Ovis aries: one gene and its partners. The protein of the gene in region 3 purifies or fractionates together with the protein of the main gene of each other region. This does not show direct contact. Links are inferred from orthologs where the notes say so. Each region holds a gene or a part of one and is shown on either strand. Other genes may lie near its edges.

What was found.
Region 1: the proteins of CDC5L (region 3) and BZW1 purify together in Homo sapiens (affinity purification with mass spectrometry; 3 studies listed by BioGRID and IntAct, with this or other methods). This does not show direct contact. The link is inferred for Ovis aries from reciprocal best matches to the Homo sapiens genes CDC5L and BZW1.
Region 2: the proteins of CDC5L (region 3) and CWC15 purify together in Homo sapiens (affinity purification with mass spectrometry; 4 studies listed by BioGRID and IntAct, with this or other methods). This does not show direct contact. The link is inferred for Ovis aries from reciprocal best matches to the Homo sapiens genes CDC5L and CWC15.
Region 4: the proteins of CDC5L (region 3) and SF3A1 purify together in Homo sapiens (affinity purification with mass spectrometry; 3 studies listed by BioGRID and IntAct, with this or other methods). This does not show direct contact. The link is inferred for Ovis aries from reciprocal best matches to the Homo sapiens genes CDC5L and SF3A1.
Region 5: the proteins of CDC5L (region 3) and SRSF1 purify together in Homo sapiens (affinity purification with mass spectrometry; 4 studies listed by BioGRID and IntAct, with this or other methods). This does not show direct contact. The link is inferred for Ovis aries from reciprocal best matches to the Homo sapiens genes CDC5L and SRSF1.
Region 6: the proteins of CDC5L (region 3) and SF3B2 purify together in Homo sapiens (affinity purification with mass spectrometry; 3 studies listed by BioGRID and IntAct, with this or other methods). This does not show direct contact. The link is inferred for Ovis aries from reciprocal best matches to the Homo sapiens genes CDC5L and SF3B2.
Region 7: the proteins of CDC5L (region 3) and GCN1 purify together in Homo sapiens (affinity purification with mass spectrometry; 3 studies listed by BioGRID and IntAct, with this or other methods). This does not show direct contact. The link is inferred for Ovis aries from reciprocal best matches to the Homo sapiens genes CDC5L and GCN1.

Annotation. Positions count from the first base shown.
Region 1 is NC_056055.1:203,226,442-203,229,789, reverse strand, and holds part of BZW1 (eIF5-mimic protein 2), read right to left. Parts: intron 3,204-3,348; coding exon 3,040-3,203; 3' UTR 2,473-3,039; coding exon of another isoform or gene 2,441-2,472; 3' UTR 1-2,440. UniProt on the Homo sapiens protein: Translation initiation regulator which represses repeat-associated non-AUG (RAN) initiated translation probably by acting as a competitive inhibitor of eukaryotic translation initiation factor 5 (EIF5) function.
Region 2 is NC_056068.1:15,099,527-15,102,996, forward strand, and holds the end of CWC15 (spliceosome-associated protein CWC15 homolog), read left to right. Parts: intron 1-1,066; coding exon 1,067-1,185; intron 1,186-2,212; coding exon 2,213-2,342; 3' UTR 2,343-2,665; downstream 2,666-3,470. UniProt on the Homo sapiens protein: Involved in pre-mRNA splicing as component of the spliceosome. Component of the PRP19-CDC5L complex that forms an integral part of the spliceosome and is required for activating pre-mRNA splicing.
Region 3 is NC_056073.1:17,861,238-17,865,224, reverse strand, and holds part of CDC5L (cell division cycle 5-like protein), read right to left. Parts: intron 3,370-3,987; coding exon 3,181-3,369; intron 1-3,180.
Region 4 is NC_056070.1:69,363,559-69,368,047, forward strand, and holds the start of SF3A1 (splicing factor 3A subunit 1), read right to left. Parts: upstream 2,896-4,489; 5' UTR 2,803-2,895; coding exon 2,740-2,802; intron 1-2,739. UniProt on the Homo sapiens protein: Component of the 17S U2 SnRNP complex of the spliceosome, a large ribonucleoprotein complex that removes introns from transcribed pre-mRNAs.
Region 5 is NC_056064.1:8,495,189-8,499,884, forward strand, and holds the start of SRSF1 (serine/arginine-rich splicing factor 1), read right to left. Parts: upstream 2,858-4,696; 5' UTR 2,749-2,857; coding exon 2,555-2,748; intron 2,142-2,554; coding exon 1,957-2,141; intron 1,592-1,956; coding exon 1,419-1,591; intron 1,216-1,418; coding exon 1,021-1,215; 3' UTR 1-1,020. UniProt on the Homo sapiens protein: Plays a role in preventing exon skipping, ensuring the accuracy of splicing and regulating alternative splicing.
Region 6 is NC_056074.1:40,571,508-40,576,065, reverse strand, and holds the start of SF3B2 (splicing factor 3B subunit 2), read right to left. Parts: upstream 2,911-4,558; 5' UTR 2,886-2,910; coding exon 2,753-2,885; intron 2,585-2,752; coding exon 2,535-2,584; intron 2,246-2,534; coding exon 2,168-2,245; intron 1,070-2,167; coding exon 821-1,069; intron 608-820; coding exon 557-607; intron 1-556. UniProt on the Homo sapiens protein: Component of the 17S U2 SnRNP complex of the spliceosome, a large ribonucleoprotein complex that removes introns from transcribed pre-mRNAs.
Region 7 is NC_056070.1:62,691,528-62,696,234, forward strand, and holds the start of GCN1 (stalled ribosome sensor GCN1), read right to left. Parts: upstream 2,949-4,707; 5' UTR 2,931-2,948; coding exon 2,913-2,930; intron 1-2,912. Other genes in the region: RPLP0 (large ribosomal subunit protein uL10), read right to left, coding at 4,512-4,676. UniProt on the Homo sapiens protein: Ribosome collision sensor that plays a key role in the RNF14-RNF25 translation quality control pathway, a pathway that takes place when a ribosome has stalled during translation, and which promotes ubiquitination and degradation of translation factors on stalled ribosomes.

The DNA of each region.
Region 1 (3,348 bases), on a different chromosome or scaffold from region 3:
GATAGGGTTGATGAGGAAAAAAAACCTTAAAAACATTGAATTGGAAATAAATCTCACCCCACCATTACTATGCTGTGTTAAAATAGCCTGTGGCATTTGCAATTTTCTTAAGAATATAATAAATGTCTCTAGGACAATACTCCCAGAATAATTAAGATTAAGAAATTTAATCAGCTCTAAGCACACATTTAATTATGGTATCTAAGAGGAGACTTATCCTTAGAAACTGACACCAAGTTAGGAAAATCAATGAACATTTATCGGATCATGATTACAAGTACAATCTTAACATCTATATTTACATATCTGAGGTTGGCACTGGCAGCTGAGACTCAAAATTGCCACTTAAAATTCAGAATGAAAATCTGCTAAGTCTTTTTAGAAAGCATTCCCTTTCTTTATACTGTCATAGGTGACATCCACTTACTGTTAATATTGCAGTAAGTAAACACTACTTTGTCATTATGAAGGAAAAAACTGATCAGACAGAGATCATAATGTAGTTTTCTGGAAAACTACACACACTTTCACTATACACAGTATATAATAAACAAGGTACACTCTGTACTGCAGTAACATGCAATGGTTTGGTTGTAGAAATGTTAATGTAATTTCTGCTACATCAGAATTCTGTGAAGTTGGGAGTCATAAGGATGAAAAGAGCAATTGTTTAATGGTTACACAGTAGATACATCTGACGCATAACATACAGTTACCACTAGGTATCAGCATGGAATTTACAAACAAAAATTTAAAAAAAAAAAAAAAAAAGAAGAAGACTGACCTATATAAACCTAAGTGTAAGGATGGACTTTATTTTTTTAAAAAAAGTCTTTTGAGGACTACAAATTACAAAGTAAAAGCAGATCACTATGTAGAAACCTAGTGAATACATTTTGCCTGTGCATGAAAGCTTTATCAAAAGTCATTCATTTAACAATTTCACCCCCTTCACAACGGTATCAATTATAATGCTCTTCTTCATAAGGTTATACCTTTATTTCAAACTATATTACATGTTATTCCCTTAAGATAAACTTCTAAACACAAATTCTTGGCTCATAAGAATGGCACCTTTGAAAAAGGCAATTTCCACTCAAGTCTCTCGTGGCATTATTCCAAGCTTGTTTCTTTCACCAGTCAAAAAACTTTCAAAGTGTTTACTTTCAACATGAAATCTTTCCAGCAAAAAGCGTGGCCACACTTTGTTTTCTAATGACTACATATGAAGACAGGTAGCAGCAAGAAAAGATGGAAATTAAAAAGGCAGCCATTAAAATAAATGGATCAACTGTATAGAAGAGATATTTGGCTCATGGCAATTTAAGAAACTGGCAACTAGGTTAACAGCCAGATAGCTGAGTCATAAATGAACCTGTGAAGAGAATGAAGCTGGTCCACTATGACCAAGTAGCAACACATCATTATCACCGCACTTCTCTCTCTACAACAAATACGCTAAGCCAACAGGCAATACGGAGTTATATTTGGAGTCCCAATTAGAACATGCTGATCTTTTTTCTTTCAACAATTTTCTGGGTTTAGTACAGTCATTTGCTTTACTCGCACTATTTCTGGTCCTCTCTCACGAATCTAAGTGCAGGATAAGTGTAAAATACTTTAAATGGCAAGGCTTTTTCCAAGGTATGTTTGAAAATGGCTTTGTGAAAAGAATATTCATTTGTTTTGTGTGGAAAGAAACAAACTGAATGCAGAAGTTTTTCAATGGGAAAAAGCTTAATTTTTTTCTTCCTATTACCTCTGCCACATACAATTTCCCAAATACCCTACTTTCAAGTTTGTTCTCCATGGCTTCATTTTAGGGAATGAAAATCAGAGAGCAGACAATTGAGCTCAAGTACATCTGGGGCTAAAAATGCCAAGAAAATGTTAACATGGAAGCAATGGTCCAAATACTCAAGATTCATGTTAATGAATTCAATTACTGTATATGATAGTTTTCATTGATGAGCAGGGCTTTGGGCATATCAAATTATCACACAAATCATTGCCTTCTGAGACACTGGATACTTTTACAGTTTAATTTGCAAACAGAATTTTTATAACAAATTATTTTTAACCAAATCATATCTTGAAAACTGTTTATATAGAAAACCCAGGGAATAAAGTGAACTGTTCATTGTGGAAGGCCTTAAATTACATTATTACAGTAGAAAATACAGGAGGTAGAAGATAACTGAAAAGACTAATGCAACATCAGATTCAAATCTATAGCTCCTGTAGCTACCTAAAACATGGTTTTAGAAACTAAATCCAACATTTCCAGTAACCATAGAAACAGTTAAAATAAAATTTGCCATGAAAGCCCTTATATCATGCTTGATATAGGGAGGTAGGAAGATGTAAGAACCAGGACACATGAGACATGACATTTTATCTACAACTCCTGTTTGCTTTACTGAGGGTGTAGTTTCAAAATTCAGTCACCTTCTTCAGCTTCAGACTCAGATTCTAGAAAAGGGGAAAAGTGCAATCAAGCATTACATAATATCAGAAAATAAAAGTTCCATTTATAACTTTACTTAAAATTTTTTATTAATAATGATCTACTCATATGAGGAGGATATCTAAAAGTATGCATCTGTAAATCTCAAAATTCATAAATATTTGGACTTCCCTGGTGGCTCAGATGATAAACCTGCAATGCAGGAGACCCAGGTTCAGTCCCAGGGTTGGGAAGATCCCCCGGAGGGCATGGCAACCCAACTCCAGTATTCTTGCCTGGAGAATTCCATGCACAGAGGAGTCTGGGAAGCTATAGCCCAGGGGGTTCCAGAGTCGGACATGAGTGATTGACTAATGCACACATTCTCAAAATTTTCAATTTTCCTAAGAACTTTAGTATTATGGCCAAGTCATCAAAATGCTTGAAGTCTAGTTTTTCTCCCCTGCCTTAAAGTAAATGAGTTTTTGGAGGTGTGTCATGAATAAACAAAAATCTGTACTTTAGGTACAAAATGGTATCTGAATGAAGGATGACATGTATGGACATATTCTTGTCCACATTAAAATAAGTTCTCAGGCTTTACCAAACAGATTGCACAAATGAAAAGACTTACCCTCTTCAGCATTTTTGAGCCACTCTACAAACTTTTTCATTTGCTCAAGGAAGACACTCTTCCCCTTGGCAACGTGTGCATCTTTATACCATTTTAGAATGGGTTCTTCACTCAGAACTTCAGCTGTAAAGAAGAGAGCACCCTTTACATCTGTGGAGTATTCATACAGTACTTCCGTAACTGAGGCAGAGTCAGAAACTCCCTAAGGTGCACATGCCTTCAGAGCATTTTTGTTTTGACTGAAATGTGGAGTAAAATCAATTATTTT
Region 2 (3,470 bases), on a different chromosome or scaffold from region 3:
TCTATAAGGGACTGCTGCTGCTACTGCTAAGGAGCTTCAGTCGTGTCTGATTCTGTGCAACCCCGTAGACGGCAGCCCCCCAGGCTACCCTGTCCCTGGGATTCTCCAGGCAAGAACACTGGAGTGGGTTGCCGTTTCCTTCTCCAGTGCATGAAACTGAAAAGTGAAAGTGAAGTCGCTCAGTCGTGTCCAACTCTTCACGACCCCATGGACGGCAGCCCACCAGGCTCCTCTGTCCATGGGATTTTCCAGGCAAGAGACTAGATAATAACTGTATTAGGCTTGCAGACCACATAGCCTCTGTCGCAACTTTTCAACTCAGCTGATTGTAGGATAAGCAGCCATAGGAAACATAAATAAATGAATGAGACTGTTCCAGTAAAATTTATTTACGAAACAGGATGGTTGGATTTGAGTAAACCACAGGCTGTCCATTCCTATATACCTATGGTCATGAAACAGTGTACCTGGTACTTGAGTATGGAAAGAGTTGGCACCTTTTTTCCCCAGTGCTATGTGTGGCAGTCAACCAGTAACTCTAAAAGAAATAATAGGAAATTGTTCTTGGTTAATAATAACTTGTCACAAGTCCTAGAGATGCTAGTTTACATTGTTACTGAGTCAAAAGATTATTTATAATCTGCTATATTAACCCTTCTTTAGAAATTGAGATAAATTGCTTTGCCTCATGTGTCTTTTTGATGTTTAAACATGTTCTTAAATGATTAGAATGTTTACTGATATACTCTAAGCAGTTATGTAATTTTGTATGTAATTCGAGAAAGAAAATATGTTTAAATAAACATGCAACTCAAGAATTTCAAAGTCAGAAAGAGACTAATGAATAACAAACATGAAATATTTATAATAAAAGTGCCAAATTATTTCAGTAGGACTTTTTTGGTATATTTTTAAAAACAAAAACAATGCTATCTTGATGCTTATCCCATCTCCCTCTAAAAATCCTGACAGTCTTTTAAAATATGAGTTATAATAATAAGATTGACACCAGAGTTAATATAAGTAAATGAATCTTTTACTTATGAATCTTCCATATTGTTGACAGGAACAAGAACAAAAAGCTGAAGAAGAAAGGATTCGTATGGAAAACATTCTGAGTGGAAACCCTCTTCTTAATCTCACTGGCCCATCCCAGCCTCAGGCCAACTTCAAAGTTAAAAGAAGGTATTGTACAGTAAATAAGTTGGAGATTATATATATATGTATACAGTACAGATTATATATAAAATATAAGTTGTATGTGTAGTTTTTTGGTTGTATTAAACTATATGGTGGTTCTTCCTTGTTTGGTACAGACAGAAATGTTTGGAGGTTGAAACATCTCTTAATATGCAGATCACGTTTGACCTAGCTCTGCTCAGCTTTTCACATTTCTCTGCACTGCACCAGTGATGACTTAAAACACTTTTCAAAGATGCCCATGTTCTTTGCTGATTTTCCACATGCAGTTTCCTCTGACATGCATACATCCACACTCACACACATTGTATAGCCTTTCATTTGATATATATTTATGAGAACTCATATATTGCACATATGAGTTTGTGTTGTATATGCTAGATGATATTTTGAAATAGTAGTCTTTATTTTCTCTAAAACATGTATTTAAGCCCATCCTGGGCTGCCTGTTGTTTTTTTTTTTTCTTCTTTAAGTTTATACATTATGAAAGCCAACCAAGAGAATCTTAACTAGAGTTCTGCCCTAAGCTCTTCAGCTGCTCTTGCCTTGTGGTTAATGTAGATGTGGGCCAACATATGAGCCTTAATTATTATACCCTAATAATTCCTTCTTTTGTCCTACCGTGTTAAATGGTTACAGAGTATATATAAAATCCTTAAAACTCATAATCTAATTATAGTGACTTGCCCAGTTATCCTTGAGACCTAATACTAATCAGGGTAGTACCAAGTGCTGCCGCTTTGTTTTAGACCTGAAAACATTGAATATTTATGCAACTTCTGCTTTTTTAACTCAAAGTTTTTTATACTGGAAGAATAACAGGAATGTTGTGTGTATTCTAAAATAGCGATTACTCTTCCTGTTAAAAAAGCAAGCCAACTGCCTCTTAAAAATTACTTGTTCTTTTGGGTATAATCGCAGCATCAAGTGATGTGCATGTTGAGCATGAGGAAGCTTTGTCGTTCACATTGATACAGGTATTGTAAGATTGTTCTATTTTTTTTCTTTCAGGTGGGATGATGACGTTGTCTTCAAGAACTGTGCAAAAGGTGTAGATGATCAGAAGAAAGACAAAAGATTTGTAAATGATACGCTTCGATCTGAATTTCACAAAAAGTTCATGGAGAAATACATTAAATAGTACAGTTTTATGTGCTGAATTGAAGGCTATAAAATGTAAACGATCTGACTTCATTTTGATTTTTCTCTCCCACCCCTATCTAAATTGTGTATAGGCTTCCCTAATTTTTAGTTCCAAAGTATCTTTTCCTTTATTGATTAATTACTTGATAAGGACTTGGGAATTGGTTTAACCCAGTTTCCATCTCAATATTTCCAGTCATGTGTTTTCTCTTAAATATAGGAAAAGAAACCTTGTAATAAATATTTTTAATAAATAGCCAAATCTGTGTCCCCAACTTGTTTGTTGAAATGTATGCAGCTAGTAAAACATTGCATATTTTCTTCTGTGTGTTGGATTTCTTTGTAAACTTTTTCTCCTCATATCTCAAGTCAGTTAATTCATCACATCTCCTCCATCTTTTGAAAAGTGTGATGAAAGATTAAAGGGATTCCATTTTGGACCACTGTTGGTACAGAGGAGTGTTGTCAAGCAGAAAGCACCCTGAGTGCGTGTGTGAGGGAGCGTGGGGTACCTCTCACTTTGGCATTGCCCCTTTCTTTTCTCTCAGCCCAGACAATAAAGAGGTTCTTAAGTGTGCCCAGGAAGCGTGTGGCATTCACCTGTGTCCTGGATACTCAGCTGCCATGTTTCGCTTGAGTGAGAGAGAGTGCTCACTGACACTCACTAGATGCAAAGCCTGGGGGAGTTTAACATCAAACAATATATGAAATAAAACCTTTGGAAATATGAGGATATGGATACAGGAAGTGGAAGTGTTTACACAACTGGGAAATGAAGTTTCCCTAAACCTTGGCTAGGATTTTTAAGGTTATCATTTTGATAGAAAATGTAAGACTGGGAATTGAATCTTTTACAGATAGAGACCCATTCATAGGATTCCTCCATTGTAAATGATGTTGAGCTTGGTAGGGTTAAAGGTAAAACCTTTAAAGCAAAAATAACTTGTTCTTTATCACTGGCATTTATTTAAACTCCCTTCTCTAGGATCCTCAGCAGGAGCTTGGACACAGGTTAACCTGAGTCCACAAAGTGAAAGTGAAGTCGCTCAGTTGTGTCCAACTCTGTGACCCCATGGACTGTAGCCTATCAGACTCCTCTGTCCATGGGATTTTTCAGGCAAGACTG
Region 3 (3,987 bases):
AAAATGAATATTGAACCATGGAGGAATTCAATGCTTCCATTCTTTCTGACATTAAAATGTCAGAAGTTTTGGAATAGTTTTACATGTCAAGAAATGTATGTGTGATTGCGGCCTCACATATGAAATTACCATTACCCAAGAACTTCTCCTATCACCCATGCCAAGCCTCTTTACATGAAGAACTAAGAATTCCACTTTCCCAACATGAGCTTGGGCTAAACATTAGAACACCCAGTCTGGCTTTATCATGAATGCTTTATCCAATTTTCATTAGACTCTCTGAGTCTCAGTTTCTTCCATTGTGAGGTTAAAATATTACCAACTGGTCTATCTACTACATTAGAAAACTTAAGACAGATTACTTTCTGAAGTCTTGCTTGACCTCTTCAGGTTGGACTGACATGTTCTCTTTACAGTCCCCCTACTATAACCCTGCACTCATTACTAACACAGCACCCACAACTCCTAATCCCCAATTCAGGGTCTGTGGCAAGCTACATTTTTTCAGGGTCTGTGGCAAGCTACATTTTCCACAGAGTCACAACCATAATTCTCATCTCACATGCTCTTCTTACAATCCAACTTTGACACTCCAACCACTGAACTGTATGTTATAAAAGGATCAATTGCATCTTAAAAAAAAATTACACACACACACGTGCTTCCTTGGTGCCTCAGACAGTAGAGAAACTGCCTGCAATGCAGGAGACATGGGTTCTATCCCTGGGTTGAGAAGATTCCCTGGAGAAGGAAATGGCAACCCACTCCAGTACTCCTGCCTGGTAAATTCCATGGACAGAGGAGCCTGGTGGGCTACAGTCCATGGGGTTGCAAAGAGTCAGACACAACTGAAGAGACTGAGCATGCACACAAGTCTAATTAAAAAAGAGAGAGTTCAGAAATTTAAAATACGACAGTAGAAATTTAAAAACTGTATGAAAGTAAAATTCAGAAAATCTCCTAGCAATGAATCAAAAAAGTCAAGACAGAAAATCAGAGAGGAATAGTGAAATAAAGCAATGAAGGGGAGGAAATTTTTCTCATTTTCAGAATAACTTCCCAGAGTTGAAGGTCATGAGTCTACAGAATGAAAAGACTCATCAAGTACCTAGTACAGTGGTTAAAAATAAACCCACATCAAGAAATATGCATGTGAAAAAGAGGTCATATAAGCTTCCAAAGGAAGGAAAAAACCAGGTTTCCTATTAACCTTAACAGCACAAGTCAGAAGACCCTGGAACACTGACTTCAAAGCTATGAACAAAAATCCTTTGAATCTGGAATTCTATACCCAGTTGTACGATCAATCAAATTAAGAGAGTAAAACAGTAATTTACAGATATTCAAGACTTAAAAACTGTATCTCCCACGAAACCTTCCTCAGAAAGCTACCGACAGATATGCCTCACTAAAAGGGAGCCAACCAAGAAAGCGAGAGACATGGGAGCCAGGAAAGAGGAGACCCAAGGGAAAACTTTCCAGGGTGACAGTGAAGGGGGAGCAAGAGAATGAGCCATAAACAAGATCTAAGGAGCAATCAGTCCAGGCTAGAACATTCAGAAATTCTGGGAAAGACTTCAAGCGCTGAAAAAGATAAGAATACCTAAAATTTTACCAGATTACAGGAGACTGACAGTTAATAAAGTCCAGATCCAGAAATGAATTTGTGCCAAGCCATCAAAAATGTTAGCAACTAAGTAAAACAAGTATTAATCCAAAGAAAAACAAAATACTATGCAGCAGAATAATTATAAGGTACTTTCCAGGTCAGCAGTGAATGCAGTTTACATAGTCACAAGTGAGTGTCAAAGTTGCTCAGTCATATCTGACTCTGCAACCCCATGGACTGTAGCCTGCCAGACTTCTCTGTCCATGGGATTCTCCAGGCAAAAATCCTGGAGTGGGTTGCTATGCCCTCCTCCAGGGGATCTTCCTGGCCCAGGTATGGAATCTGAGTCTCCTGCATTGCAGGAAGATTCTTTACCATATGAGCCACCAGGGAAGCCCCACATAGCCATAAGGTAAACCATAAATATAGAGCTAACCAAAATTATGATTAACTACAATGGAAGATGGGAAAATGGAAAGAGTGGATGCACAGTAGAGGCAGAGGGTATGAGAGAGCCAAATGCTCAATTTCTACATGGAAAAAAAATGCTTTAAACTGAAAATAAAACCAACATGAAACAAGTGTCTTACCATTACAGTGGTGAAAACAAAGAGCTGTCACTGATAACTCTAGAAAGCAGACAATGAGGGGCACTATTTTTTTTACATAGTCTTATATAGGACTGTTTGACTCCTAAATCAAAACCGTAAGATTATATTTGACTCTTAGAAAACTGAGATGTAAGGAGTGCTGAAAGATTCAATAGTATTCTGTTGCTGTTGCTGCTGCTAAGTCACTGCAGTCGTGTCCAACTCTGTGCGACACCAGAGATGGCAGCCCACCAGGCTCCCCCATCCCCAGGATTCTCCAGGCAAGAACACCGGAGCGGGTTGCCATTTCCTTCTCCAATGCATGAAAGTGAAAAGTGAAAGTTAGGTCTGTCTATTACCTAGCATGGTAACACCCTAGGAACACACAGAGCTGTACACCCTATATGTTAAGGAGCGAGAGGGAAATAGCACTGAAGGCCGTCTATGCCATGCTAAGTACAGAATCACAAGGAAGTTTTGAAAATCACTGTAAAAAAAAAAAATTACTGAATACAGGGAACTCTCCTGGCGGCACAGTGGGTAAGAATCCACCTTGCAATGCAGAGTACACAGGTTTAATCCCTGGTTGGGGGAACTAGGATCCCATGTGCCAGAGAGCAAGCAAGCCCGCTCACCCCAACTGCAGAACCCATGAGACACAACTAGAGAATCGGTGTGCTGCAATGAAAGCTCCTGTGGGCTGCAACTAGGACCCAAGCACAGCCAAATTAATAAAATTACTAACTACACACGTATTTTTTTTTCCAGGACTGCTAGGCAATGTGTAATTTTTAAATGCTGTGCTTTACTGACAAGATTTAGCTTCCCTACCATGGAAATCTCTAGCAGCTATGCATTCAGGACTGTTTCAAACTGCTTATGCTAAGAGACACAAAACCAAACCATTTAGTCTTCACCTTTATACTACTTTTAAGGACAGGAAGCAAAGTGAAAGGCTCATTCTACCATATGGCAGCCTACCTGCAGAATTCTGTCCTGGGAAGCTGGCGTTCGTGGTGTTCTCAGAGCAATGCTGTTGTTGGTGACATTGTACTCAGACAAGAGAGTACTGGAAGCAGAGTTTGTTATGCCAGATTCCTCAGCAGTCTGACGTGCAATTTCACTTGCTTGGCCTACTTTTACAACTTCTTGGAGTTCTGCGTCTGAAATCTGAAGATAACAGTTATCATAGTAGCAATATTTAACCAGAGAATAACACAGCTTAAAACGTCCATATTCTAGAAAGATGAACTGCTGAGTACACAGAGGTTCACTGTATACTCTTTACTTTGTGGGTTTGAAAATTTCCATAATATTACTAGTTTTTTAAAGTGTTCCTATATAAAGTAGGGGGGAAATTCCATACATGATACAATATCAAACTGTATTCTTCTATTTCCATACTGAAATTCTCTCAAAACAATATATTAATAAATCAAGATTATAAATTATTTGTACAAAACCATTTATCAATTGGGGGGGGCGCATACTAAAAATGAATTAAAATATCACAGAGTCCATTGAGCCACAAAAATCCCTAAGAAAATCAAAAGGTGTTATTTTTGTAATTTTACCAACAAATGTCCTAAGAACTGGAAAAAAAAGAAAAGGTTACAGGCAAAATTCCAATTTAAGAAATATCACCACTACAAATGATAGCATCTGACAAAACTATTTTATGTTTATACCCACGAATTTTATATTAATGCAGCCAGGGCATTCATTTGGCTAAAGAAGCTGTTCAAACCTCCTAAATCCATCCCTCTGCTCCATTAAACTGTCCAATTC
Region 4 (4,489 bases), on a different chromosome or scaffold from region 3:
CCTGTCTCTCTTGCCCACCATTCCACCCAAGTCTCCCTCCTGGCTCTTGTTTCACCCCCTGACCTATATTGTGAGTGTCCCCCAAATTCTGTCCTCTTTTCAGACTCACACTGTCCTCAGTAGGCACTGACAGCGCATCCTCCACTTCCCCAGCACCTCTAGGCCACACCATCCTGCCCACACCAATGCCCCCCGTCACTCTCATGTGGCCACAGAGCTGTAAGAGCCCACGGTCCCGGGGCACTTTCATCTCTAACCACCCTCCTCATGGACGGCCAACCGTGCCTCCAGTCATCCAGGGCAGAAACGTGGGTCTCTTCTCCTTTCCTCAACCTCCACATTCAGTGATAAGGAACACTTCTCAAGCACAGAGTAGGTTCTACATCCTTCTCTGAGCACCTGAAGCAGATTACATCTATAAGCCTTACAGGCCCGCGACGCTAAGCATTCTCACTACTGTCATTCTACAGATGACAAGCTAAGAAACGGAGACCCCTCCCTGAGGAAGCCCACGTGGCAGAACCAGGATCCCAGCGCATCAGTTCAGAGGGAGAGCTTGCACATCAGCCCTTCCGTGCCGTCAGCGTGCCGGCGCCCTCTGCCCCAGGCCCCAGCCACAGTGTAGGCCAGGCCCTCAACGTTTTTCAAATAACATGACCAATCTTTCCTCCGAGCAATTCTCCACATCACTGTCTACCTCCATTTCTGCAACACAAACACGTCAGTCTCCAGCTTACATCCGCTCTTCTCCCAAAAGCCTGCTAGGAAGAGTTCAAATCGCCAGTAATACAGCTCTTAAGTACCACTTTCCCAACTCCATGCTTTAACCTTCTTTACCCTTGACCAGAAGCACTGTCTGACTCAGACCTCGGTACCTCTGCACTTAGGTGGCTTTACCTGGCTTATTTTTCCACGAATACCGGGAAAATGCCAGGGTTACAGAGGTACTTGCAGTGGTCAACAGATAGGATATGCTCAATAAATAAATTTGCTGAATGAATAAAGAATGGTATTTGCCTGCCCCATCACCTACCTGGTGAACTGACTCATCCTTCTAAACACAACTTAGCTTACATCCCATGGGCCTCGCCTACCTTAAACTCTCCTCTAGCCCATAAAAGCGACGTGGATTAGAATTGCTGCCTCCACTGTTTAAAATAGCCAAGATGTGGAAGGGCTTCCCTGGGAGCTCAGCTGGTAAGGAATCCGCCTGCAATGCAGGAGACCCCAGTTTGACTCCTGGGTCAAGAAGATCCCCTGGAGAAAGGATAGGCTACCCACTCCAGTATTCCTGGGCTTCCCTGGTGGCTCAGACAGTAAAGAATCCACCTGCAATGCAAAAGACCTGGGTTCGGCCCCTGGAGGAGGGCATGGCAACCCACTTCAGTATTGCGTGGAGAATCCCCATGGACAAAGAAGCCTGGCGGACTACAGTGCATGGGGTTGCAAAGAGTCAGACACAACTGAGCAACTAAGCACAGCACACAGCACAGGACATGGAAGCAAGCCAAATATCCATCGACAGATGAATGGATAAAGATGTGGTACGTATATGTGATGGAATATTATTCAGCCACTAAAAAGAATGAAATGATGCCATTTGCAGCAACATGGACGGACTCAGAGAGTGTCATGCTGAGTGAAATAAGTCAGACAAAGAAGGGGAAATACCGTATGGCCTCTCTTATATGTGGAATCCAAAATGAAATGACACAAATGGACTTACAAAACAACAGGAGACTAACAGACTTCGAAAACAAATGTATGGTTACCGGGGGGGAGGAATAGTTGGGGAGTTTGGGAAGGTCATGTACACGTTGCTATATTCCAAATGGATAACCAACAAGGACTTACTGTCTGTCACAAGGAACCCTACTCAAAGTTATGTGGTAGCCTGCATGGGTGTGGGATGTGGGGGAGGACAACTGCGTGGATATGCATGGCTGAGTCCTTTGCTTTTCAGCTGAAACTACCACAACACTGATAATCAGCTATATTCCGATACAAAATAAAAAGTTTAACGTTTAAAAAAGAAAGAATTCCTGCCTCATTCCTAATACCCTGCAATTATCACCCAATTATTGACCCCGTCCCTCTTCCTTAGCTGAATCTTTTTAAGGGCTGTCTGAAACAGTATCATTTGTGGTGACTGAGACGATATTTACTAGTATTCTCTCATATCTGTCTCCCCACTAGTCCCTGAGCTCCCTAAATAAAGCACGAATTGTGCTTCACTCATTTGGCTAATATCGTAGCCTGGCACGGTGCCGGGCTTACGGTAAGCAGAAAACAAACGCTGAGAGTTAACATTCAAAGATGTACCCTGCAGGCTGGGTAATTAGGGACTCCAGAGCAAAGGCTGGGGGGCCGGTGAGCCCAATTAACCACACGAGACCGGAGGATGCGCTAGAACAGGGCTTCTCAAACGTTAATGAATCACCGTGGGATCTTATTAAAAACGCAAATTCTGATTTTAGAAGATCTGGGGTGGGAAATCAGCATTTCTAATCAACTCCCATTTGCTGCTGGTCCGCGGACCTCAGTTTGAGATCCACGGCACTAATAAGGCTTCTTCCGCTACCCGAAGGCAGGCGGGAAGCGCGCTGCCTCCTGGGACTTGGAGTCCCCCCAAATCCTCCTAAACGGCAGCTCCTTCCTGCACGAGTTAGGAGCGCCCGCGCGGGAGGCGAGGGCCCAGGCCTGCTCAAGCGGCCGGTGGAGGTGCAGAACTCGCCGTACCTGTTTGGGCTCGGTGGCCGCGGGCGGCGGCGGGGGCACCGCCTGCACGGGTCCGGCCGGCATGACTGCGACGCTCAGGGCTGCCAGTCCGCCTCGGTGTAGGTGAGCGGTGCGGCGTCAAAGCGCCTTACCGCACCAACAGTACGACAAGCTCTCAAGATGGCGGCGGCCGACCGAGTTGTCGCCGAGGGGGCGAGGCTGACGCACGTCCGGGCCCGCCCCTTCTCCGTGACATCACTTCCTGCCCTTCCCACGAGCGAGACGCCGTTGCCATGGCAGCGGCAGGGCAGCAGGGCTAGGTTTTGCACCGGATCCCCGGAGCTGCAGGAGCGCCTGGGGGCAGTTCCAAGAACCCGCCAGACACAGGGGCTGAGGCTGCGACGCCGGAGACTGGTGAGACTTTTTACATCTTCCGCCCCGACGCCCGGATCCCCCTCTCCTTTACTCTGCCAGGCCATTTCCCCTCTCCCTCCGACCCCCGCCTTCTAAATCCCGGGTTCTCTCCCACTGGGCTCCCACTTTGGCCAGATCTCCGCCTGCCTGTTCTTCCAAGCCCTTCTATACTTCAGGTCCACATCCTCCAGACCCCTTCCCAAGTCTCGATCCCTAATTCCCACTGGTCCCGTTTCCCGCGGCCCTGTCTTTTCCAGTTCCACCCCCGCCTGCCGTAGTCCCGCCCTCCAACCGGGTGGACCCACTCAGATCTAGGTTTCTTCTTTAGGCTCCACCCCTCACGTCCGCAGGTTGGTCCCGGCGGGCCTCTTCCCCGCCCCCTGGCACACCACGATCCCCCTCTTTTCGCTTCTCCTCCTGGGGGCTTCTCTTCCCTTTCCCCTCTCCCCTCCCTCCTAACTCCAGAATGTGTCTGGCTCTGAAGCCTTGCCTGGACTTCAGTTTCTTCACCGATGAAATGGGGGTGTGGCGGGGGGAGTGATAGGAAAAGATGCCCTCCCAAGTCTCCTCCCGTGTCTCTTTCTCACACCATAGCTGATTGATGTTAGTGTTACTATTAACGTTGAATTATAGCGATAGTTAGGATTTGTTGAACATGTACCATGAGCCAGACTCTGTGCCAAACACTACATGCATTCCATCATTTGTTTCCCAGAGCAACTCATTTACAGATCTTCAGTTTACATGGTGGAGTGGGAATCCAAACCCAGGCCTTTCTTACTGTTCTACTGGTGCGCTTACTTGGTTACTTGCTTTGTCTTCACTGGATTCCTTCAGTATCCCCCCGGGGTATCCAGGCAGTTAGCAATCCTGAGTCAGAGACTGACGCTGCTATATAGATGGGTTTAGAGTTTCCAAAGCATTTCCATGGGTGCACTGGTCAGGATATGTGAAATCGCTCAGTCGTGTCTGACTCTTTGCAACCCCACGGACTGTAGCATACCAGGCTCCTCCGTCCATGGGATTTTCCAGGCAAGAGTACTGGAGTGGGTTGCCATTTCCTTCTCCAGGGGGTCTTCCTGACCCAGGGATCGAACCCAGGTCTCCCTCATTGGAAGCAGATGTCTGAGCCACCAGGGAAGCCCACTGGTCAGGAGGTAGGCATAATCTTTACCTGAAGGGTAGGGTCCCAGGGCTTAAGACAAAGAAGGGACTTGAATGTTGAACAGAAGCGAAGGAAAGGTTCCTTCACTCCTTTGTGGGTTAAAATCCACCTTGGGCTGAGGGACCTATGGAGAGGCAAGGTTACCAGCTGCTCCCACCCCAGGCTAGTGGTGGCTCAGTTAGTGCCATCACT
Region 5 (4,696 bases), on a different chromosome or scaffold from region 3:
TAAACATGAGTCAATTATGAATACTAGTTTAAAGGGGAAGGTGAGACTTAAAATTATTCCCAACTAGATTATCTACACCAATATGTTGGAATTCTATATTTTGCTTTCATTTTGTCTTTAAAAAATGAAGTAGCAACGCTATATCAGTCACACAGAGGACATGCAGATTTAGCAGTATTGATATTATACTCTATCTGGTTGGAATTAAAGACACCCTGTACCCACATGTACACCAACAGCAGGTCACACATTAACAGTTGTAACTAAGCATTATGACAAATTAGCCAGTTCTTCCCACATTAGTCCCTATTAAAATAAAAAAGGGAAGGGAGCAAAATAGTTACAAAATGGGCAATGTAATTTTGCCACAATTGCCAAGGTTTAAAGAGCAAAGCAATTGTAGCTAAAGGTAACTGCATTAAGATGCTTACAAGTGTTTTATGGTAGATGTATACATAATCAATTTAAACCCTTGCCTTTAGTATAAGGTCAATACTGCCAATTTCATCTGTGACAATAGCACTTGGAGTCATACCATTGCCTCCATTATTGATCTGATCCTCCTCAATCCTCCTTTTGACAATCCTAAAATGATTGAAATGTGCTCCACAATCCTTAATCCAAAGCATTCTTAATCCATCTCTTCAGATATGTCTACAGAAAGACACATGAAAAGCAAGATAAACATAAGAACTTCCCCAGGTAAGATAACCACAAACACCCCCAACATCCCAGTTCACACAAACCAGAGCAGAATAGACATTTACACAATATCACAGTCTGAAGAGCATGGAGAGTTAACTAAATTTAAACAATCCTGGCTATGACATCACTTAAAATACAATTTATCGACATGAGGGGAATGTAGATGTTAGGAGCAAGGGGTATTACACAAGAATGCAATTCAACACTTTAGCCCATTCTGAACAAAACAGTTTGAATTAAAAAATGAAAAGATTGTACTGAATAAAGGAAAACTGTATACAACATGGGTTCTACAAAAAAGTGTCACCAATCATCTTATGTACGAGAGCGAGATCTGCTATGACGGGGAGAATAGCGTGGTGATCCTCTGCTTCTCCTTGGGGAATAACTTCGACTCCTGCTGTTGCTTCTGCTACGGCTTCTGCTACGACTACGGCTTCGAGATCGAGATCTTCCATAACTTGGACTTCTGGGCCCATCAACTTTAACCCGGATGTAGGCAGTTTCTCCCTATTGAATAGACAGAACTTTCGATTGAAAGATCTAAGTTTTCACCTGTCTTCAGGCATGCTGAATGAATACAACGTAATTTAAACCAGAGGCACTTTACTGGGTTTACTTGGACACCCTTGCCTGAATCTTACCTTCAAATTCCACAGTTAAGACCACTGTATCCAATTCTGGCCAATAAAAAGAATAAGTGTATAACCTACCTCATGAGATCTAAACTTAGTGTTATCCAGTTTTCGAACTGCATAGGTCATATCTTCTTTCCGTACAAACTCCACGACACCAGTGCCATCTCGGTAAACATCAGCATAACATACATCACCTGCTTCACGCATGTGATCCTTTAAATCCTGCCAGCTTCCACTTGGAGGCAGTCCTGAAAAAGAGTTTTTTTCAACAATTATCCTAGTATTTCACATTAAAGTTAAAATTTACATTAGAACCAAGACTACTTTAAAATTAATGATTAGTTTTAACATCCTAGGTTAATGATTCAAAATTCTAGAATTAAAAGCCCCAAATTATTTACAAAGTAATGATCTTCATATTCTAGACACTGCAATCTAATTCGTTAAATCTCAAATACAGTAATTCCTGGTTACTAAATTCATCCATGCGACTGAAATAATTTAAAGACCTACCATGAAAGCTAGCATTTGTCAAACTACGCATGCAAGGAAAACTTTAAAGTGTAGGATCTGTCCAAAAGTGACATCGACCCGCGCGGAACGGTCAACTTACCAGAGACAACCACTCTGTTTTCAGAACGCCTGGATGGGGGGCCATAGCGGCCCCGGGGAGCCCCGCCACCTCCACCCCCGCCGCCGCCTCGGCCTGTACCACGGCCACTTCGAGGAAACTCCACCCGCAGACGATATCCATCGTAATCATAGCCGTCGCGACCGTACACCGCGTCTTCCGCATCCCTGCGTGATTACAGAAAGCCGAAGGGTAAGAAAAAGGGCCGGGAGGGGTGGCCACCTCCGTCGGGGAGCCAGCAGCGCCCCGCACATGCGCACCCGGGGTGGAAGAGCCCACATGCGCCGCATAATAGGGACGGCCCCTCCCCCACCCAGAAGCACGCCAGGCTCCCGACCACTACAGCAGCCCTCAGCGCCTCAGTTTCCCGCTCCGAGCCCGCGAGCCGGCTCCGGAGACGCCCGGGGGACCCAGTCACCAGGGAAGCCTCACCGACTCGGCTCCTCACTTCACTCGTGCGCGGCCGACTCGTCTTGCTCCCAACCTCAGAGCCCACGTCCCCATTCTCTCTAAGGCCTTGGAGCACTCCCCAACTACTCCAACCTATATCCTCAAGGCCGCAAGTCCCTGGCCGCCTCACCGCGGGTCCTCGAACTCAACGAAGGCGAAGGGCGGTCCTCCGCGGCGATTCTTCAGGTCGATGTCGCGGATAGCACCGTATTTGTAGAACACGTCCTCAATGTCCTTGGTTCGGATGTCTGGAGGTAAGTTCCCTACGTAGATGCGGCAGTCGTTGTTCCCTGCCGGGCCACGAATCACACCACCTCCCGACATGGCGGCGACGAAAAGCGCGGACTCGAGAACAGGCCTTCCCACCAAGCCTAGCGAACGGCAGAGCGAGCCCGCCGCGACACCACGTCTCCCGCGGCCCCTCCAAAATGGCGCCTTTATCAGCTCGGCGCACGGATATGGGGGGGAGGGAAGAAGAGAAGCGGGAGGAAGCAGCTATTCGATCTCACTGCGCACGCGCAAGAGCGTAACGGGTGTGCAGCGAAAGGGACGCTGGCGCACGCGCGACGTCACCCTCCGCGCGAAGGGAAAAAAGTTCCCGCGTTCCCGTGGTGCCGAGAGCTTTGCAAAGGAAGTGACCGGCCCTGTGGTAAAGATTTAGGGCAGAGCCCTTGTAAAAGAGGGTTATTAATCTTGTCGAGTCCTAAAGAATAATCAGTTTCCCCAGGAATAAGTCTCTTAAAGCAAAGGCGCTTTGGAAGGATTTAGTGAAACCTAGCCTATAGCTTTATCCCACAATGCTCTGCGGGGTTAACGGCCTTGGGCGGGAAAGACGCCCCCGGGGGCGGAGTCAATGGGGGAGGGACTGGGCGGTTGCTCCGGAAACGGGCGCGTCTTAGGAGACTGCGCCCAGTCCGGGAGTCGGCGTTGTCTGTGATTCTGTGCAGAGGCAAGCCATCACTGTGTTTCCGCCTCGTCTCCTGTGAACCTGTGCGCTGCCTAGACGACTGTGTAATATAGGGGAGCCGAGCTTAGATTCCTTAGATTCTACATCAAGTACCGTTCTACCTTCGGTTCAGCACCAAGCTTTGTATATATTTAATAACTACATTCAACACTGCTTGTGTTTGTTAGTGGCGGCGATTCCTGCTCTGACCAATCGTTGGTGGTACCAACCGGGACCCAGATCTCTCTCTTTTTTCATCGCCTATTACTAGGCCCAACGCAGCGGAAAGGTGCATTGAAGGCTGCAGAATGAATGGTGCCTGTTACTTCTCCATCCTTTTTCAAAGAACGAGAAAAAACACACGCGCCTGCGTGTGTGTATGCAGAATCCTGAAGTTCCTTGTTTTGAACTCATTAGCAGGCCTCTCAAGTAATATAAATGAGCCCAATGAACTTGTGAGAACTGCTGTGGCCGCTGGAGACCACAGTTGCTGCTCAAGACTGATCTGCTAGTCAGGTCCAGGGAGATTAGAACTTCTACATTTTTTCCTATAGAGATATCTATTTGAAATCTGGTTTTTTATATGAAATGCTGGAACTTTACATTATTAGTGATGAATTCAAATTAAAACAACAAACCTGCAGTCATAAATATGCTAAAACAGCTAGCTCTGCACCCTAAGGGTAAGGATGATTTTCTTCAGTTTATGTATGTATTTGTAATAGTCCCTCTCCTCAGGGCTGTAAGGCAGTTTTATAAAGATACTATAAAACGTTATTAAAACTAGGTGGAGAAATCTAGGTGCCTTTGAAATTAAAAAGAAAAAAGATGACATGCTTTCAGTTCTATAAGTTGATTGAATATATTCTAGTAAATGTTTCTCAGTAATCCCAAAATACAGATTTACTTTGCTCCAGATCCATGGAGGAGCTTTGGTAGTTCTTAAAATCTCTGTGATAGTTGACAAAATTTTGTATGTGTACTTTTTTGTCCTTTAAATCATCCTTCATTGACATATTTTATCTATTGCCTTTTTATTTTTTAAATACTTATCTATTTTTAGTTGGTTGATGATTGGTTTATAATATTGGTTTGATTTCTGTCTTACATCTACATGACTTCAGTTCAGTCGCTCAGTTGTGTCTGACTCTTTGCGACCCCATGAATCGCAGGACGCCAGGCCTCCCTGTCCATCACCAACTCCTGGAGTTCACTCAGACTCATGCATGTCCATTGAGTCAGTGATGCCATCCAGCCATCTCATCCTCTGTCGTCCCCTTCTCCTCCTGCCCCCAATCCCTCCCAGCATCAGAGTCTTCTCCAATG
Region 6 (4,558 bases), on a different chromosome or scaffold from region 3:
TGAGTGCTTAGTTGCTCAGTCATGTCTCCATGGGCTATAGCCTGCCAGGCTCCTCTGGTCCATGGGATTTTTCAAGCAAGAATACTGGAGTGGGTTGCCATTTCCTTCTCCAGGGGATCTTCCCAACCCAGGGATTAAACCCACATCTCCTGTCTCCTGCAGGCAGACTCTTTACCCACTGAGCCATTGGGAAAGCCCAGTAGGGGTCAGGAAATTTCTTCTGTAATGGGCCAGTCAGTAAATATTTTAGGCTTTCTGGGTTGTTTGTAGACTGTTGTAAATTCCTTTCCCCCATCTCCCCGAAACAACCCTTCAAATATATAAAAACCATCCTTACATCACAGGCCATACAAAAACAGGCTATAGTCCACAGATTACCAATTCCTTGGCTATGTGAAAGAAAGAATTATTTGGGAGATAATGGAATTTAGATGAGGATGAGGTAATCTCCATGGGAAACCTGAATGGCACGGCTAATTTTAGACAGTAAGCACTAGAAGTGACAGACGATGGATTAGACCATGGAGGTCAAAGGTTAGGAAGAGGGAGGCATTACCCGCTTCTGCTGCTCCAAAAGCTCATGTTCCTTCAGTGAATGATCTCCCTGCTTAAGAAAGAAAACGAGCTCATTCCAGTACCCACACCCCACCGGCCAGTCTACCACAGCTCTGCTTCCTGGTCTGCTCTTCCAGCCGAGGCCCTGAAGACTTGGGTCCAGACCTTCCCAGAAGCCTTGGCCCCAGGATCCGGCTCCCCTGGAGGCCCTACTCCCTTTTCAGGACCCTGGTGAGACCCAGGCTCAGGCTGCCACCTGCCCTACCTGCTTGGCACGCTCCTCCTGCTGCATCAGCAATGCCGCCTGCTGCTGCGCCAGCTTCAGCCGCTCTTCCTCAGACAGCGCCACGGGCTCACCCACCCGGAGAGGAGGAGGAGGCCCCAAGTTTGGCGGGCGGGGTCCAACTGCCATAGGAAAGCCAAGGCCAAGGCCAGGTGGGGGTGGTGGGGGTGGTGGAGGGGGTTGTAGAGGAGGGAGACCCATGGGTGGGGGCGGCATGGGAATCCCCGAGAGCTGTGGGGGGAAAAAAAGGCCATTAACTATGAAGCATTTATGTAATGGCAGGCATTTGCTGGGGAACTAATATAAGGCTGGCACTGGGATTCAAAGTCAAATGATGCACAATTCTTGCATTCAAGAAAATGCAGGGCTTCCCTGAAGGTCCAATGTTTAAGAATCCGCTCAACGCAAGGCACATGGGTTCGAGCCCTGCTCTAGGAAGATTCCACGTGCTGCGGGGCAACTAAGCCCATGTGCCGCGTGTGCTGCAGCTGCTGAAACCCGTATACCCTGGAGCCCGTGCTCCGCAACCAGAGGCCACTGCGATGGGATGGCCGCACAACACAACTAGACAGTAGTCCTGTGCTCGCTTCAACTGGAAAGGGCCTGCACACAGCAATGAAGACCCAGAGCAGCCAAAGACATAAAGGAAAAAAGAAAGAATACTCTACGGCAGTATCGAAAGAAGAGCATTTTAACTTTGTGCCACCAACTGATGAAAGCTGTCAACTCTGTCCCAGAAGAACATCATGAACACAGACTTCACATACAATTTCAGGAGACTCACGGACACCTCTAAAGGCCTTCTGAAAAACTCCTCAACCCCTCAAAAAATAAAAACCTTCTTATGCCACACATAGAAGTCCCTGGACCCCAAGTCAGGGCCACTGCTCTACAGAAAAACTATCAAATCCTGGATCAGAAAAGACATGGAAATTGAGAGTATTTAAATAAATAAGACCCAGTGTGCCCCAATGACTGATTAAATATAGAAGGTATGAAATTAAATCAGAGAGTAAGCCCTAATTTCTCATTGAATAACATGGGAACTCTGCACAGGGAGGGCAGAGAAGAGAGTGATTACTTCCAGCTGGGGAAGGATTATGTCAGGTTTCCAGATATTTAAGCTGAATCTTAAATGACACATGAAATTTGGAGGAACTGACACTGAGAAAGGAAGTAAGAATCTGGACGAAGGAAGAACTGAAGAGTTCCCAGTTCTTTCATCAGTGTACCTCCCTGCCCAGTGGGCTACGTGTATCCCCCTGTACGCTCAGAGGAGGAGCTACTCTGAGTAGAAAAGAATCTTATCAAGTGAGACAGTCTTCTTACCTGTGCTGACATAGGAGGAGGAGCAGCTTTGTCCCCATCTTCACCTCTCAGAACGGGACGATTCAGGACGATGCCAGTCTGTGAAAGTGAAAAGAATCTAGGGCAGTCTAAAAGGAGCTGGTGCATGAAACAGCGTTCGCTCTCGTCTATTCAACAAAATTTACCCAGTGACTGTCTGCCAGAGCTCGGAATGGGCTCTGGGAAGAAACGATATATACAAAAGCAATTATAACACAGCAGATACGAAGCAGCCAAGACCCCACTTGCTGTACCGAGATTCGTAAACAACGAAGACCGAGTTGTAACGGGTCATTAATGCCTCCTGCAAACGCTCGGCCTATCCTCATGTCCCGCCACCAACACTTACTTGGCGAGTGTAAGCCTGCAATCGCTCCACAAGCTCCTCGCGACTCCCTGCTAAGCAAAGCACAGGATCAACGGGGTAGGTCAGGTCGAGCAGGCCAGCCTGCCCAAGTCAGGCCACCGCGGCCAGCCTCTAACCCCCGCCCCCGGGTCTCCGGGGTAACCAGCTCCGCTTCCCCGCAGGCCTGCACTTTCCTGCCCTTGACTTCCCATGCTCCTCACCCTGGATGGGAGCTCCGATCTCTGCTAATTTGGCCTGAAGCTCCTGGGCAGCCCAGGCACCATAGTGTCCAGGAGGCGGCGGCGGCGGCAGCTGCAACTCTCCCTTAGGAGGCTCCGGATGCTCGGCCGCCATCTTAGCCGCAGGAAGGCGCGCGACCAACCCGGAAGCTCGGACCAGCCTCCGGACCCACTTCCCGGAACTTCCGGTAGGGCGATACGCCACGTCCGCTCGAGGGTTGCCAGGCAGTTCCCATCAGGGCCCACCCCCTACCGTTCTCCAATGCTCCTTAGGCCGCCTGGTCGCGAAGCCTTCTGGGAGTTGTAGTGCACAGGTCACGATCTCTGCGGATTCAAATCCGGGAGGATCGCGGCCGGCCGCGACGCGGGGAACTCTGGAGGCCAGAGCCGGGGCGGGGCTGTGGGGAAAGCAGGTCCTGCCCGAAGGGCGTGCTTTCTGCATCTCACTGGCCTCAGCGCAGACCTCCCGCCTTGCGGCGCTACTCCCTGGTTGGACTTGAGAGGCCTGGACGCTCACGTTCTCCAGGGACTCGTTCCCCCGGCGGTCGCGCGCTGTGGGCGCCAAGCGGGAGTTTGCCGCCGATGCCTGTGATAAAACAGTGTCTGATTGTCTGCCCGCCCATCCCCGGCCCAGGCATGGATGAATGGGCTGAAAGGAGATCGGAGACGGGAACGAAGCCGGCCCTCCGGGCTGAGATCCAGCTGCCGACCTGGGGGAAGGGCCACACTAAAGCCCCTTTTTCCACCTTCCTGGCCGTCTCAAATGTCATCTACGTTAAACTGTCTCCCGCCTTTCCTGCTCTGGAGCGGCCAAACCTCTACCATTTGTTTTGAAATCTTTCTTGCCCTTTTCTGCACTTACAACTCCCAAGACATGAGTTTTTACGGTCTCACAGTACCTGGCGTTAGAAGTGCTCAATGAATTATTACTGAAAGGGGGAAAAAAAAAAAAAAAAAGCAGTCTTAAGCGACAAGATTTGGATCCTTTTTTAGTCTTGAAAATAAACGCAGGGGAATTCCCTGGTGGTCCAGTGGGTCGAACTCAGTGCTTTCCCTGGGGAAACCCGGGTTCCATCCGCGGTCAGGTAACTAAGATCCCACAAGCCGCACCGCAAGGCCGAAAAAGAAAGAAAATAAACTCAGGACCTTTTCTTCCCTCATCCCCACCAGCTTACTGGCGCAGCAGACCCTGTCTGGTGCTCTCCTACCCCACCAGCGGCCTGTGCCCCTGAGGGAGGGATGGGCAGGTGGCCCTTGCTTGCCCCCTTCTGCTTCTCCCTGTCCTGATCAGTCAGTTCAGTTCATCTTCCCACCTCTGCCTCCAGCTCTGAGATCCCGTTCCCATTCTAGTGCTGCTGTCTCACAGACAGCCAGGTCGCAGCCAGTGTGCATGTATGTGTGTTGGATGAGAGAGCGGGGCAACTCAAAATGGTCTCTATTCCCTCTCCCCTCCCTCCACACCCGCATCCCTCAGATCTTCTCTCTAGCATGCTCTATTTCACGAATCACCCCCAACAGAGCAGTACCTGGGAGGAGGGAAAAAAGAATGGGAGGTCAGGTCCAGGGAAGGTGAGGTTTAGGATAGACAAAGGACTGGGCCAGGAAGGTTGCTTGCAACCTAACCCTGGCAGGAAATTCTCTTTGCTCCTGCCCAAACCTAAACCCTCCCCCTTTTCATCACTACCATCATCCCAGTCTCCTGACACTCCCAGAGGAGATGCCAAACCCAGAAAGGACAGAAGAAAGAAGAGCAGTGCTCCCCAGCCCTCCAGCTTGTCAGCCCACTCA
Region 7 (4,707 bases), on a different chromosome or scaffold from region 3:
AAAATTAATCCTGGAGTTGAATCATGAGCCCTTCACTCTCTCCATTCTCAGCCTGCCTCGTTTTATCTGTCCTAATTAACCATTCAATCCCACAGTCTGCCCCGTGTCTAAATCTCAATACATTGACGCAGATCATGCAGTCTGACCAAATTCCACCTTCCTGAAGAGGCCTCTCCCAGTGGATTTGGTGTGTGACTGCTACAGCTGGGATGCGGTTTATCACCCTGAGAATGTACTCTTTTTGTGTGTCTGGGTGAACTGCACACTCTAACTTGTGACGTCCTTGCGGGTTTGAAAATGTTCTGACCTCCTACCTGAAGTTTGTCTGAATAGAGAATGCTAGATTGAAATTTTCCTTCAGAATACTGAAGACTTTTCTCCACTGAGTTCTAGCATTCAGTATTGTTGGGAACCTCCATGCCATTCTGATTCTCGATCTTTTGTCTGAGATCTGATATCCCCCCCCCCCCAGGAGTTTCTAAGATCTTTTTATATCCAAGGTTCCAAAATTTCAGGTTGGGACTTTCCCGGAGGTCCAGAGGTTAAGAATCCGCCTTCCATCGCAGGCAACTGAGCCCACGCACCTCAACGAAAAGATCCCACGTGCCGCAAATAAGACCCAATGCAGCCGTAAATAAATACAAAAATAAAGAAGAAAATTTATTTTTAACAGAAAAATTGGATTTCACGTTAGTGTGCTCTGTCGTGCGTCTGCTTTCATCCACTGTGCTGACCATTTTTGATTTGAAAAGGCATGCTTCGGTTCAGGGAAAGCATCTTGAATTATTCCGTTGATGATTTCCGTGGACATTGGACCTCCTACACTTTTGTGTGGTCCTGTTTTACACTCTCCAGAAAGGAAAACTTCCAGCCTTTTGCCAAGATGGAGAAAGAAAGCTGGGGTTCTGAAGGCACGTGAACAGGGCTTTCAACCAATCCTCCTAACTTAGCCCCTCCCCACTCACCCTCACACCCAGGGGTTAGCAGATGCCAACAATTCCCAGCTATCAGAAATTCTACAATGTAAATCAGGTTGGTTCTCAGCTTTCCGAACTGCTGGCTTAGGATCCTTTACCACTCCTCACTTTCTAGCTTCCAAAAGTTTGCAGCTGTTGTCTGCTCCCCATTCTCTCAATTCTTATTTTTTCCCTCAACCTTTTACTAGTTTCAGTAAGGCTGGAGGAGATAGCAAATTTAGATGCATCTTTATATATATAATACACCCTGTACCCGAAATTCCCACATAGCTGTTTTTCCATGCTAATGTTAAGTTCCTGACTACAGTTTCTCCTGGAAAGATGAAAGGGCATTTCAGGTACAAGGCTCTTCTTTTTCTTAATCAGAAAATGAATGTCACCCACTAGGGACCCTGTCAGAACAAAAGTGAGGAAGAGCACACTAAGATCCTTCAGAGAAGTAATCTGTTGGTTTAGATCAGATGCAAAGAGCTTAAAAAGTTCACAGGTTTCTCTCTAGGGTAACACTGTCCAGAAGCACTTTCTGTGATGATGGAAATGTTCTTTTACACTGTACAATGCATCAGTCACCAGCCACATACAGCTACCCAGGCACTGAAATGTGGCTAGAGCAACCGAAGAACTGAATTTTAAATTTCATTTAATTTTAACTAACCTAAGTAGCTAGTTGGCTGTTAATTAACTGGTTACTATACTGAACAACACAGCACTAGAGAGATTTTTTTTTTTTAATATTTATTTATTTGGCTGTGTCAGGTCTTAGCTGTGGCACAAGGGGCGCCCAGGCTCAGTTCCCCAGTAGTATGTGGGATCTTAGATCCTGGGCCAGGGGCTGAACCGGTGTCCCCTGCACTGGCAGGCGTCTTTAACTACTGGAGTACCAGGTAAGTCCCAAGAAGTGTTTGCTTTCTTCATTTGAGTTTTAATGTTACACATTCAGCATGTATTCTCCCAACCCCTTTCAAAATACCCCTTTCTTTCCAGGATCCATCATAACAAACTTTGAACAAATTACCAGAACCTTCCTTGCACAGGAAACTCACAACACACACATTCTGAATAATGAAGTTAAGGGCTCACTCTCTGACTTCAGGGCCTTCATATCAAAATAAATAAATCTCCTCATCCCGACACCCAAGTGAGCCAAGCTGTCCTTTTGAGACCTGTTTCATTTCCCGTAATACTGTCTTTTTTTTTTTTTCGTAATATTGTCTTTTCTCTCTAAAACACTCACAGCCACAAAGGAGGCTGGGGTGGAGGGGGAAAGTCCCCCCTCCAACACTCAAGGTGACAAGACTCTTCCCAAGTTGTGACAGCTCTTTTATCTAACGCTGGACCTAATAATAACCACCAACTTACATGGGGCCCTACTTTATTTCATCGATTCCTCACAACGACCCTACGAGGCAGGTATTAGTTTAGCCCCATTGTATGGATGCAAAGACCGCGACTTGACAGGATTAAGCAGCTTGCCCAGCGTCTTAGAGAAACTGATCAGCTAGCACTCAAACTCAGATCTGTACAAATCCAAACACTGTGCTTTAAGTCCCCGAGCGTAGTAAATGTCCGAGAAATATCTGCTGAATATAAAGTTTTAAGGCATAGTTGGCGCTGGCCGAGGTTCATCGTGGAGGGTTTCGGAGAAACGGAGCAGACTCTGAAACGGGAACTGTGGCAACTTCAGGATCAAGAAGGGTCTGCCGAAGCCGAGGCCGGAGTCCGACTCGTCGAGCCCACGGCCGGTCTGCGCCGCCCGGGCCGGGAACCAGGACGAAGCCGGGTCCGTGGGGAGTTCGCCCGAAGCGCCCCCGGGACCGCGCCCTCCGCAGCCGCCGCCCCCTAACCCCCTACGGCAGCTGCACTAGCGGTCAGACCAGACCGCCGCCGTTCGCGCCTAGTTGCTGACCGCGTTGGCCTCGCAGTCGCCCGCCTTACCTGCGTGTCCGCCGCCATCCTGCCGGAGCTGACTCCGGAACCGCTTCCGGAGCGCTTCCGGGTCACAGCGCGAGCCCACGCGGCAGGGCGAGGCCGGGATCCCGCTTGGAGCCCGCCCGGGCCCGGGGCCTGGCGCCCCCGGGCGGGACGGCGGTCACCGCAGGCCGGGATTTGACTCAGGCAGCCGGAGTGTGTTATCTGAGGGATACCGGGGACTATCAAGGCCTGCCAAGGGCGTGCTTTTCGACCCCCGGGTCTCAGGGCCCTTCTCAGCCCAGCCTCATGGAAGATGAGGGTCCCTACAGCTCCGACCCACGTGTGCGCAGGCAGGTCCGGCCCGGGTACCCCAACGTGGGCCTCTCCTGTGTGAAGACCGTTTTACATAAGTGTGGCCTACTTGTTTGCCAGAGGGGTTTCCTTGATGACAGGGGCTGAACTCAGTAACAGGCAGGCAGCGAAGTGTCTTATACCGTTGTTTGTACCCCAGCAGCAATGTTAGAAGATTCTAGAGCGGAGGGAGGAAACTGCCCAAGGGCAACTCCTTAGACCAAGGCCACAGGGTAGGAGGCTGGGGCTAGTTTAAATTTTATTCTGTATGCAAACCTGACAACTCTACCTACTTTAATATGGTCTGCACAGATCAGTCCTGTCTCTGATGTTAGCAATGGCTTTCAAACTTCTGAGTGCGCGCATGCTCAGTGGCTAAGCAACTCTTTGCAGGTAGATGGACTTGTAGCAGGTCAGGCTCCTGTCCATGGATTTTCCAGGCAATACAGGAATGGGTTGTCATGAGGCTTCCCTGGTGGCTCAGAGGTTAAAGCATCTGCCTGCAATGTGGGAGACCTGGGTTCAATCCCTGGGTAGGGAAGATCCCCTGGAGAAGGAAATGGCAACCCACTCCAGTATTCTTGCCTGGAGAATCCCATGGACGGAGGAGCCTGGGGTGCTACAGTCCATGGGGTCGTGCAAAGAGTCGGACACGACTGAGCGACTTCACTTCACTTCCTCCTCCCAAGGTATCTCCCAGACCCAGGGATTCAAACCGAGTCTCCTGCGTTGCAGGCAGATTCTTTACTGCTGAGCCACCTGGGAAAGCTCCTTTGGACTTGAGACCTGGATACAACCAGCACTTACCTCATGATCCAGTCAGTACAGAATAAATGATATGTATGATTCACACCTACAGGACATTTTCTCTTTAAATAGTGGCCACTAAATTGGACCACCACCCAGTCTGAAACACCCCCGGCAGCACACATCTTATCTCAGTATGACACCAAGCCTACTTAAATTATCTCAGAGTGACCCAGGCTTGTGGCCTGATGGTCATGGAGACAAATTTCAGTTTAACAAACATACAGTTAACACTGGGTAGAGACAAAGTATAGGATGCTAGGAGAGCAATGTGTCACTTTCAAAGAGAACACCCAAATGTCAATTTCAAATCAAGCTGATTTGACCATGCCTTTGGTTTCTAGCATACAGCACTATATAACCTTCAAACGCACAAAATGAGAAGCTCAGAGACTTGTAAGAGAAGTAAGCCTTTATTTTCTCATTTCACAAATAATGCTGGCCCGGTTGGCTGCTCTTTGGGGATTAGTCAAAGAGACCAAATCCCATATCCTCGTCCGACTCCTCCGACTCCTCCTTTGCTTCGACCTTGGCTGGGGCTGCGGTGGTGGCAGCGGGGGCAGCAGCGGGGGCAGCAGCCACGGGGGCAGCAGCCACAAACGCAGATGGATCAGCCAAGAAGGCCTTGACCTAGAGCAAGGGCAAAGTTCACAGTCAAAGG